Linked DNA regions of Callithrix jacchus. The protein of the gene in region 1 interacts with the protein of each later gene in a biochemical or structural test. Links are inferred from orthologs where the notes say so. Each region holds a gene or a part of one and is shown on either strand. Other genes may lie near its edges.

Region 1 (3,656 bases):
TTCTCCCCAGCCTGTGCCTAGTACAGTGCCCAACACTAAAGCAGTTCAGATGCCAGTGAATGGTGGTGGCCACTGGGAGGCCTGTCTGTGGGTGCCAGTAACGATCTCTTCAGAGAAAAAGAAAACTCCCCTCTGTCAGATCAAATGCATTCCTACCACCATCACTATGATTCTATCCACAGTAATTATCATAAAAGCCTAACAATATCTGGTAGATGAATGTTCTGAGTAAGTGTCCTAACCAGATTTAAGACTGCACCAAAACCAGTAGAGGTTACTTCACTTGACACAAGTCGGTTATGATATCTAAATTCTAGTTTAATCTGCGAAGAGATTTGAGTGTAACTGAGACACACTTAAATGGAATATACAGATGAGCTTTATTTTTATATCTGGCATGCTTGGATCCATGCCGACCCTCCAGCTGCTCGGGCCTGCCCTTAGGGTCTCTGGACCGCATGACTCTATCAGCTGCACCGCCGCCGCCGCCGCCTCCGCGCCGCCTGCGTTCCTAGACCATCAGGCCCAGCAGGCGCTTTCTGGGGGCGTCCCTACCGGCTCCAGCCCTCGGGGTTCGGGAGCGCCTGGCTGGGAAGCCAGAGCCCTGCAGGGTACCGGGGCGTCCTGGCCTCCTAACGCGCGCCCCTCGCCCGGCGCCCCGAAGCGGCCCCGAGGGGCGGGAGCCGAGCCCAGAAGCCAGGCCGGGCCTGGGGCGCAGGGCGCCCCCATAAATGCGGGCTTCCCCCACCCCCGCCAGCGACCCCACCTCCCGCCCCCGCTGCGTGCGCGCGTGTGTCAGTCTGTCTGTATGCTCTCTCGACGTCAGTGGGAATTTCCAGCCAGGAAGTGAGAGAGTGAGCGACAGAGAAAGAGAGAGAAGTGCACCAGCGAGCCGGGGCAGGAAGAGGAGGTTTCGCCACCGGAGCGGCCCGGCGACGCGCTGACAGCTTCCCCTGCCCTTCCCGTCGGTCTGGCCGCCAGCCGCCGCCGCCCTCGGCCTGCACGCCGCCGCCGGCCCGGCTCCCGGAGCCCAGCGCCGCCGAGGCCGCAGCCGCTCGGCCAGGAAGGCGCGCCGCCGCCCGGCCACAGCGCGCCCTGCGCTTCCCTCCGCCCGCGCTGCGGACATGGCGCGGCGCTGACTGGCCCAGCCTGGCCCCGCTGCGCTCTCGCTCGCCCCGACCCGCACCCGGGCCCGCTCGGGCTCCGGCCGGCCGCCGCCTCTTCCTTCTCCAGCTCTTAGGCCCGCGCCGCCCGGGAGGGAGAGCCCACCCGCGACAGGAAGCCGAACGCTGACTCGCCACCCGGGTAAGCCAAACTCGGGCGAGTGGGGACCCGGCAGGGTACGCGTGGCCCGAGTCCCACCACCCAGCCCTCCGCACCCCTCCAGCCCCACTCGGACTTCCTTATTCCTGCGCTAACCGCTGGGCTAGACCGTGGGAGAAGGTTGACAGTAGCTGAGAGGCACAAGGGATTGGAGACAGCGGGGAAAGGCACATCCGGACCTCGCAGGGGCTAGTCGGCCGAAGGGCCGCGGCCGCCGGGCGGTCATTCCTCTTCACGTCCTCGGCGCATCCGGACCTTGCAGGGGGCTACTCGGCCGAAGGGCCGTGGCCCCCGGGCGGTCATTTCTATTCACGTCCCTCCGCGGGGCGGGAACGCTAACCGGTGGGGAACTCTTACAAACTTTTAAAATCCCCACCCCCAGCCGCAGCTGGGGGATGGTGAGAAGGTTGAGGTGCGCTGCGGCGCGGAGGAGAGAGGGAAGGTGGTTGGTGCAGTGCAGAACCAGATTTCACCTAAGGGCGTTCCATGAAATGAAAGCAGAAGTCCTTGTCAGTCCTTTTGGCTGGGAAAGCCCTCTCCAGCTCCCCAGAATTGAATAGGAGAGTCTATTCATCCCTCTCCTACTTCTAAAGGAAGGCTGTCCCTCCCTCCCTTCCTCTCTCTCTCTCTGTCTCTCTCTCTCCCTCCCCCCTCCCTCCCGCCCTCCCTCTCCCCCTGCCCCCCACCCCCCAACCCACCACACACACGATATAGTCACTTGCATACTTAGAGCACTTTTTAGACTTGATTATGTAAAACTCTTGGACAGAGTCACCATGCATTGTGCATGACCTCCAAAACAAAAAATAATGTAAAAACAATGCCTAACCTAAATGTAAGTTTTCCTATGGTCTTTAAAAACATATACACCAGGGGATGTTTGCCCTGGCTTACTGGTCTATCCTGAAACTCAAATGGGACTTAATGATACAGGATTTAATTATCAAGATTCAAGACATTTTCATGTACTCTGTTAAGTAGAGGTTTTCAGCATTACAGTTTATGAACTAACTGTATTTAACCTAAAGATTTTGTTATAAAGCTCATAATCTGAGAAAATGCTTATGGTATTACTAAAACATTGACTAGCTCTGGCATCAAAATATTCTTCTACACACTGGTGATCTTTAGTAAATACTAAAGGTTGGGGTCATGATGTTCCATACGTTTTTTCTAGCAGAATCCGACAACTGAATATTATCAAGCAGTTTAAAGTGCATTCCTGTTTGTTAAAACTTTAAAAGGGAAACTTAAAACTGAAGTATGTTTTTTTTTCCTAATTATAATACTGTGCTTTCTAGAGGTGAATCCTTTTACTGTTTGAGGCACTATGGGAATTATGTATTTAAATTTGAAGCAGAGTACTTTTTTTAGTTTATAAACTTGGGAAAGCAGGAAGTAAAAAGATCTGTTCCTTGTAGAATTTTACATTCATGATTTAATTGAATTGCTAAAACGAAAAGAGCTTATACGATTAATGGAGACATGAAATCTGAGATTATTCATCCATATTGATATACCTGCAATTCCTAAATAGCCTCCCCTGCTTGTTTAGATAAAATGTCTTCCTGGGCTACAGCCTGCTGGACAAACTTGAACACAAAGGAACACGTTATATGTATGCTTAATACTGCTGCTTGCAGTGAAAAAACCACTTAAACTCTTAGAGACTTTTTAAAGAAAACAGTATAATCCTGGGTTGCTGGTGATTTAAAAATCTTATTATCTTTTTTTTTTTTTTTGAAATTTCTTATGTTCTGCATTGGTACTCACTTGTGCTGAGTAAATGCCCCTGTTTTTCAAACCCAGGTAGTAAATATGGGGGTATACATTGCAAAAATAGTCCTTCCCCTTCCCCTTTGTAAGCATTGCTTTGATCTTTGCACTTCCTTTTTACTCTACCTCTTAAACAAGATCTGTGATGGTTGAGTTGATTAAAGCAAATTAATCTGAAATTGGCAGAATTTTATATTTAGTGATCATATTCCTTACATTTCTCTTGTTACTGTTCCTGGAAACAAATTGAACTAATTTGAGAAACTAATATTTATGCAGGTTGCTTTAACCACACTTTTAGACTTGCAGATAATTGATGGAGTAAGTTACTACCTTGACTTTCAGGGATTGCACATTGTGGGAGAGATAGGGAATTGACAGCTACATGAATCTTGGATGATCCTTCCATCAGCAAGACCTTATTTTTACCTAATTTATGAGAGGTATTTCTCTGTTCAGAGGAGGTGAAAGTTCTGGCTTTTGGGGGAAGTGGTTGCTTCATAACCTTCAGTTGGTTTGAACTTGGGAGAAGTAAGACGAGTAGTTGATTTTTCAAA
Region 2 (3,750 bases), on another chromosome or scaffold:
TTTTTCTATTTTTAGTAGAGATGGAGTCTCACCATGTTGGCCAGGCTGGTCTTGAACTCCTGACCTCAAGCGATCCACCCACCTTGGCCTCCCCAAGTGTTGGGATAACAGGCGTGAGCCACCCTGCTCAGCCAAGATTTTTATTTCTGACATCACATTTGGAAGGGACAGAAATTTACAAATAAGAAAATTCTTCTCCCAGGACAAGATGCAAGTCAGAAAGTTGAGTGGCTGGGTGCGGTGACTCATGCCTGTAATCCTAGCATTTTATGAGGCTGAGACCCGTGGATCACCTCTGAGGTCAGGAGTTCAAGACCAGCCCGGCCAACATGTTGAAACCCGCTGGGTGTGGTGGTGGGTTGCCTTTCAGCTATTCAGGAGGCTGAGGCAGGATAATTGCTGGAACCTGGGAGGCTGAGGTTGCAGTGAGCCGAGATGGTGTCACTGCACTCCATCCTGGGCTGACAACAGCAAGACTCTGTCTCAAAAAAATAAAAGAAAATATGAGCTAGTGGTCCCGACCTCAGTGTATAATATCAACTGTCAGAAGACTAGGCACACTATAATCAAGAGAAGTGCCAGAAAAGCATCTCTTTCCAATGAACTGGAAGAATGGAAGCCCTTGTTAAAGGGATCATTCTGCAGGAGTACGTATTAACTGTGGTCTGAGGCCCTGTACAGCCAGAAATGAGGAGAAAGTTGGTTTCTCATTACTGGCATTCAGGAATTAGTGGCAGGTGAAACAATCTCTATAGTTTTTCCAAGAGAAATCAGAAGTCATGCGGTTTAAATGGGAACCCCTCACTTATGACACAACTTGAAAGCACTGGCAACCCTATCTCCCTGAGGAAAGTCTTCCAACACAAAAAGCCCCACTACGTTTAACTCTCAAAACATAGGCAAGTCTGATATTCCTCCAGTACAAGGGGAATCTTTCTTTTTATTTTTGGAGAAACCCGTGTAAAACATCCCCTTCCAATGGGATAAGGGAAGTCAACAAAGACGCAGGGAAACAAAGAACATCTCAGCCAGGAAGGATAACCGGTATACAAACAGTGTCATTTCTAAATTGAGAAAAATGTCAGCCTCAAGAGAGCTGCGAAACTGGAGTGGGCAGATCAGAGAGAAAGACAATAGTGTTGGGAGGAGGGTGGCTGAAAGAGACAGGATAGATCAGAAAGCAAGTTAAATGAAACACACACACACACACACACACACACACACACACGAGGAGGAAAGGCACTTAGCTTAATGGAAGTGGGAAAGCATTCTCAAAGAAAAGGCTTCAGGGCATGAGGGAGAAGCAGTTTACTCTTTAAAAAGGCTCTTAGGAAGAGTGGGGCTCAGCCCACGATAAAGACGGATGAAAAGCGGTGAGTCCCTTAGAACAGCTAGCGAACCTCTACTTTGTCATTCAGTCAAAATCCAACAGCCCTGACTGGACAGCTAGACATCCTCAATTTTCCCACCCTTCCACTGTCATTCAGTCAAAATCCAACAGCCCTGACTGGACAGCTAGACATCCTCAATTTTCCCACTCTTCCACTGTCATTCATTCCGTCAAAATCCAACAGCCCTGACTGGACAGCTAGACATCCTCAATTTTCCCACCCTTCCACCAAGCCCAACGTACCCATTAAAAGAAGCTCTATTCGCCTAGGGGGCATTAACCCAGTCCAAAACTCGTTCTCATTCTTCTGTAGGAATTAATCAAGTCCCAAAGCATCTTTAACTGACAGGAAGCAGTTCATAGGCCAGTGTCCATGGCCCCAACAAATACTAACTTTAACTCTGCTTGATATCTGGCCAGCACAATGGTACCGTGAAATAGGAAGAATACCCATCTGGATGTCCCTTTAGGCTACTGAGCTGTCCTGAACGGCTTCGGTCCAGCCGCAGGTTTTTGATGGCTGCTTCTGGACTGCGCCAAGGCCCGCTCCCCTGAAGTTCCTTCCCTTCTTGTATCCGCTCTTCGACAAATTCTTCCCAAGAATATTTGCAGTCTTAGGTGCCCGCCACCCAAGATCCTCCCAAACGTCACGGGGCCGCTCGGAACTAAAACATCCAGCCCCGCAGTGCACCCCACTGGGGCCGCCGACCCTGTTGCTGCAGCGGACGGGACGGGACCGGGCGGTTTGGGCGGCGGACTCGCCAGGGGCCGCCCGGGCCTCAGCCCCGCTCCTCGGGACTGAGGCGTCTGGGGAGAGGACCGGGACCGTGAGTCTCGCGCGCAGGCAGGGCGCCATGCTCTAGAAACCGTCAGCCCCGAGGAACGCTCAGGCTACACAGCCCCGCAGGGAGGCCGCCCGTCGAGGCTCCAGTGTGCCCCCATCAGGGCCTCCACAAGTTTCCAAAGAAGCGCAACGTCTTCTCCAGAGTCTCCTGTTGCCCTCCCCACCAGGAGTCGCAACACGATCTTGCCGGGCATGTCCCTCTCTCCGTCTCATCTCTTCCCGCACGGCCCCCTCCTCCCAGGCCCTTTACAAAACCTGCCGCCCTAGGAGAGAAAGAAACGACCACTCACAGCTTCACGACATTCTCCACCACAGCCGCCATCTTCCCTGCTCCTCTCCCTCGGGCCGGGAGGCCCCAGAGTCCGCAGCGCGCAGGCGCCGGGACCACACGGGGGCACCAGGTTCCTCGCCCTCTGCGCAGGCGCCGCCCGGGCGCGCGCACGAGAGCGAGTACTGAAGAAAGCTCTACGCTTGTCTGCGGGGGCCGGGAAGGAAACGCGTGAGACCGCACGGGAGACCGATGCGCAGGCGAAACCGGAGACTGGCATGCGTCCCGGAGCTCGGTTGGAGGCGGGCCGCCTCTTCTATCTAGAAGAGGTGGGGCAGGGCGAGGTGGCTCACGCCTGTAATCCCAGCACTTTGGGAGGCCAAGGCCCGTGGATCGGTTGGGCTCAGGAGTTCGAGACCAGTCTGGCCAACATGGTGAAACCCTGCCTTTACTAAAAATAGAAAAATTAGCCGGGCATGATGTCAGGTGCCTGTAATCCCAGCTACTTGGGAGGCTGAGGGGGAGAATCCTTTGAACCCGGGAAGGCGGAGGTTGCAGTGAACTGGGATTGCACCATTGCACTCCTGCCTGGGCTACAGAGCGAGACCCCACCTTAAAAAAAAAAGAGCTGGAGGAGGCCCGTCGCGGTGGCTCCCAGCACTTTGGGTGGCGGAGGCCGGAGGATTGCTTTGAGCTCAGGAGTTTGAGACCAGCCTGGGAAACTTAGGGAGTCCTCGTCTCTACTAAAAATTAAAAAATTACCCGGGTGTGGTGGCATGTGCCTGTGGCCCCAGCTACTCAAGATGCTGAGGTGACCAGATCGCTTGAGCACAGGAGGGTAGAAGCTGAGTGAGCCGTAATCGCACCACTGCACTCCAGCCTGGGCGACAAAGCGAACCTTGTGTCAAAAAAAATAAACAAACAAAAACCCCAGCACAGTCGACCTTCACTATCACCTCTTTTCAGTCTTTCAAAGCAAATAGTACTCCCTGTCTCTGTTGCCTTGTTTCCAAGTCCCCCTTCCACCCAATTGGTTCCCACCTGTTCACTTGAACTAGCTCCTGTAACCCTGACCTCCCTTTCAGCAGATTTAGAGATGTCTTCTCTGTCCTCATGGGCCTGTCAACCCCATGACACTGTTGGCCACTCTGCTTTTCAAACTCTTCTGCAGATCTTTGAGACGCCACCCCCTCCCGGTTGTCCTACCCCACTGGCAGTTCCTTCCAGTCTCTTCCTCTGCTCAGCCTC
Region 3 (3,750 bases), on another chromosome or scaffold:
ATTGCACTGGGTCTTTGTTTCATCTTTCCATCAAGCCAATTTGTTCTTCTCCTCTACAATTTTATTTCTCACATGTGAGAAATATAACTAACTTTCAAAATGTAGCTTTAATAATCTAGTGGTAATATTTAATGCTTGGTTTATGGAGACTAATTTAGCTGTTAGCTGTTTGAAATAGCAAGTATCTTTCATTAAATAACTTTACAGAATTCAGAGGAAACAGCTGCCATTCAGATGCTGAGATTTTTCAGTGGCATTTTTTATACTATATTAACAATAACCGTAACTATAAATTTCAGACCTGTGAACTTTTAAAATTAGATTGACTCATAGTATCATTTACGTAACTTTCTCTTTCTTCAATGAGTGGGATTAACAACCTACATTAACTAGATTTTGCATTAAAGCATTTTATATTAAACTGTAGCTTTATAACCAAATTTGTGAAAATTATTTGAACCTGCAAAACTGCTAAAACATGTTTTTTCTATTTATTTTTCCAAAACTTAGCCATGCCAGCCCAAGAACCCTCACAGGTTAATTATAATCATGGCTTGTTTCATATAAATATGACATGAGGCCGGGCATGGTGGCTCATGCCTGTAATCCAAGTACTTTGGAGGCCAAGGCGGGCAGATTACTTGAGGTTGGGAGTTCAAGACCAGCCTGACCAACATGGTGAAACCCCTTTATAAAAAAAAAATAAATAAAATATGACATGAAATGTGAGCTAGTAAAATTCTAAGAATTCTGTCACATGTTTAAGACTGAAGTGGGTTTTTTGTTTTCATTAATTAAGGATTTCCCCCCTTTATATGTAAAAACAGGTTGAAAACAATTATGAAGTTTGGGAATTAGTGTGGATGAGCATGACGATAACATTATCTCTCAAATATTAAAATAGTAGGCTGGGCACAGTGGCTCATGCCTATAATCTCAGCACTTGGGAGGCCGAGGTGGGTGGATCACCTGAGGTCAGGACTTTGAGACCAGCCTGACCAACATGGCAAAACCCCATCTCAATTAAAAATACGAAAATCAACCAGGCATGGTGGCACATGCCTGTAGTCTCAGCTACTTGGGAGGCCAGCAGGAGAATGAATGGCTTGAACCCGGGAGGTGGAGGTTGCAGTTAGCTGAGATCACACCACTGCACTCTAGCCTGGGCAACAAGAGTAAAACTCCATCTCAAAAAAAAAAATTGGAATGAATCAAACAGATTTGCTTTCAAATTCCTAATTTTAAGAAGCTTATGCAAACTTCCTTGCCGACCATTTTAACACCCTCCTCCTTCCCCAACAAAATGGGCTCCTCGTTTGTGTTAATGTGGCACTATGCACAGACCTTTCTTCCATAGCACTCAGCAGATGGTACCGTAGTTGATGGCCTGAGAGTTTCGTGTCAGGCATCTCTGTGTGTAATGTTTAATGCAGAGTCTGGCACGACGTTGGTCATGCTGTGTTGAAAATATAGGAAGTAGCATTTTGAAACGTGTAACTGGTGTTTTGTAAAATGACTTGTCAAGTGTAAAGTTTTAAATGACGTAGAATATGCTAATTGTCTCACTTTAATTTCATAATCTCAATAGGACTATACAGGCTCCGACCCAAGTTCCAGTGGTTGTGTCTCCTAGAAACCAGCAGTTGCATACAGTGACACTGCAGACAGTGCCGCTGACGACAGTGATAGCCAGCACAGACCCATCAGCAGGTACCGGCTCTCAGAAGTTTATTTTACAAGCCATTCCGTCATCACAGCCCGTGACAGTACTGAAAGAGAATGTCGTGCTGCAGTCACAGAAGGCGGGCTCTCCTCCTTCGATTGTCCTGGGCCCTGCCCAGGTGCAGCAGGTCCTTACTAGCAATGTTCAGACCATTTGCAACGGAACCGTCAGTATGGCCTCATCTCCATCCTTCAGTGCCACTGCACCTGTGGTGACCTTTTCTCCGCGCAGTTCACAGCTGGTTGCTCACCCACCTGGCACTGTAATCACTTCAGTTATCAAAACTCAAGAAACAAAAACTCTTACACAGGAAGTAGAGAAAAAGGAGTCTGAAGATCATTTGAAAGAGGACACTGAGAAAACAGAGCAGCAGCCACAGCCTTACGTGATGGTTGTGTCCAGTTCTAATGGATTTACTTCTCAGGTAGCTATGAAACAAAATGAACTGCTGGACCCCAACTCTTTTTAGTTAATCTACCAAAGCTTATGAATAATTGGTTTTTAATTGAACATTTCAATTGTATGCAAACTGATTGATTCTAAGATAAATTCTACTGAGGTTCCTACTTTTGTAATTGTTAAAAATAGAGTTAATTTTGACTTTAATAGATGAGGGAGGAAAACTCAAGTGTTAATCTTTGTTCTCTAAATGTTTCAGAATTCAATTGTGAAGGAACAGGCATTTTACACTATGAAGACATTCTTTTGAGATCTCTTTTTCAGTTGCTATATCATAAGCATTTTCGAAGTTTCTTTTCTAATTTTACATTGTATTAGGTTTTCTGATTCTTTTGTAAATACAGAACTTAAATATGAGGCAACAGGAAATTTATATAGGAACTATTTTCATTCCATTTGTATAAGTAAAGTCTTGACTCTTTCAAATAGAAAAAACCTATTTTATGCTTTGTTAAAATTGTGATGTCACTTAGACTGACTTTAGTTGGCTGCACTATATGAACTATGAATATGTAAAATGACGTGAAAAATTGGAGGTGCCGCTGGTGTGGCTGACCGGTTGCAGAAGCAGGGCAGTATGGAAGCGTCTGCCTAAGAATGGCACTCCCACTAACCAGCTGTGTCCCCTTGACCTTTTGGGGCCTTAGTTCTTCTCATAAAAGGAGGCAATGTATTGGACTAGACTAGACGATCTCCACTTTCTCTTCTAGTTCTAATTTTTTTAATTCTAATAGCTATATTTTCAAGTTATGTCAATTAAAACATCAGGTTATTTTCTAATGTAAAAATAGCTAAAATGTTGCAGAAAAATGAGTGGCTTAACAAAATTTCTTCATCTGCTATGGGTAAATCAGCCGTAAATTCTTCCGAAGTAGTTGGTTTAGTAACCCTAGACCACCGTGCCATTTGCGGTCCATTAGCAAACTCACATTGCTAAGTGCTAAGCAGAATACTGCTATTTTGAGAGAGTCAGGACTCTGAAGGGCCAAGAAAGCAACTCGAGCCTTAGGCTAATCAGGCTGAGTAGTCAGTTATAAAAGCACAATTGCTTTATATTTTGGATTGTTTTTTACTGGGGGTAGACTTGGGGGGTTGCATACAGAGATAACATATATCCAAGTTTCTGAAATGAAATGTTTTTACATTACTTTTTCAACTGTAGATAATGTACATTTAATGTCACAAGAAAAATGGTCTTCTGCAAATTTTCTAAGTATAACAGAAATTTTTGTAGATGAAAAAAAATTATCTTTAGAGGTCTAATGTTATGTTTTCATATTACAGAGTGAATTTGTATTTAAACAAAAATTTAAATTTTGGAATCTAAACATTTTTGTATCTTTAATTGGTTTATTATTAAATAAATCATGTAAAAATTCTCAGTGTTTCTGTTTTCAGGCAAAAGTTTCTTGAAAGAATAGGTGTATAGAGCACACCGCTAGTATTTATAGCATTACTGAATGTTTATAAATAAACTCCATTAGTCAGAATTGCAGAATATCATCCTTTCACTTTTCCTTTCTGCCTGACCAAATGGCAGTTTCTAATAATCAAACAATGGATTACCA

The links.
Region 2: the proteins of NFKB1 (region 1) and DPF2 form a complex in vitro, tested with the Homo sapiens proteins (2 studies listed by BioGRID). The link is inferred for Callithrix jacchus from reciprocal best matches to the Homo sapiens genes NFKB1 and DPF2.
Region 3: the proteins of NFKB1 (region 1) and ELF1 form a complex in vitro, tested with the Homo sapiens proteins (2 studies listed by BioGRID). The link is inferred for Callithrix jacchus from reciprocal best matches to the Homo sapiens genes NFKB1 and ELF1.

What each region holds. Positions count from the first base shown.
Region 1 is NC_133504.1:94,841,892-94,845,547, reverse strand, and holds the start of NFKB1 (nuclear factor NF-kappa-B p105 subunit), read left to right. Parts: upstream 1-848; 5' UTR 849-1,305; intron 1,306-1,502; exon of another isoform or gene 1,503-1,695; intron 1,696-3,656.
Region 2 is NC_133511.1:122,417,423-122,421,172, reverse strand, and holds the start of DPF2 (zinc finger protein ubi-d4), read right to left. Parts: upstream 2,599-3,750; 5' UTR 2,557-2,598; coding exon 2,525-2,556; intron 1-2,524. UniProt on the Homo sapiens protein: Plays an active role in transcriptional regulation by binding modified histones H3 and H4. Is a negative regulator of myeloid differentiation of hematopoietic progenitor cells. Might also have a role in the development and maturation of lymphoid cells.
Region 3 is NC_133506.1:160,139,823-160,143,572, reverse strand, and holds the end of ELF1 (ETS-related transcription factor Elf-1), read left to right. Parts: intron 1-1,588; coding exon 1,589-2,192; 3' UTR 2,193-3,558; downstream 3,559-3,750.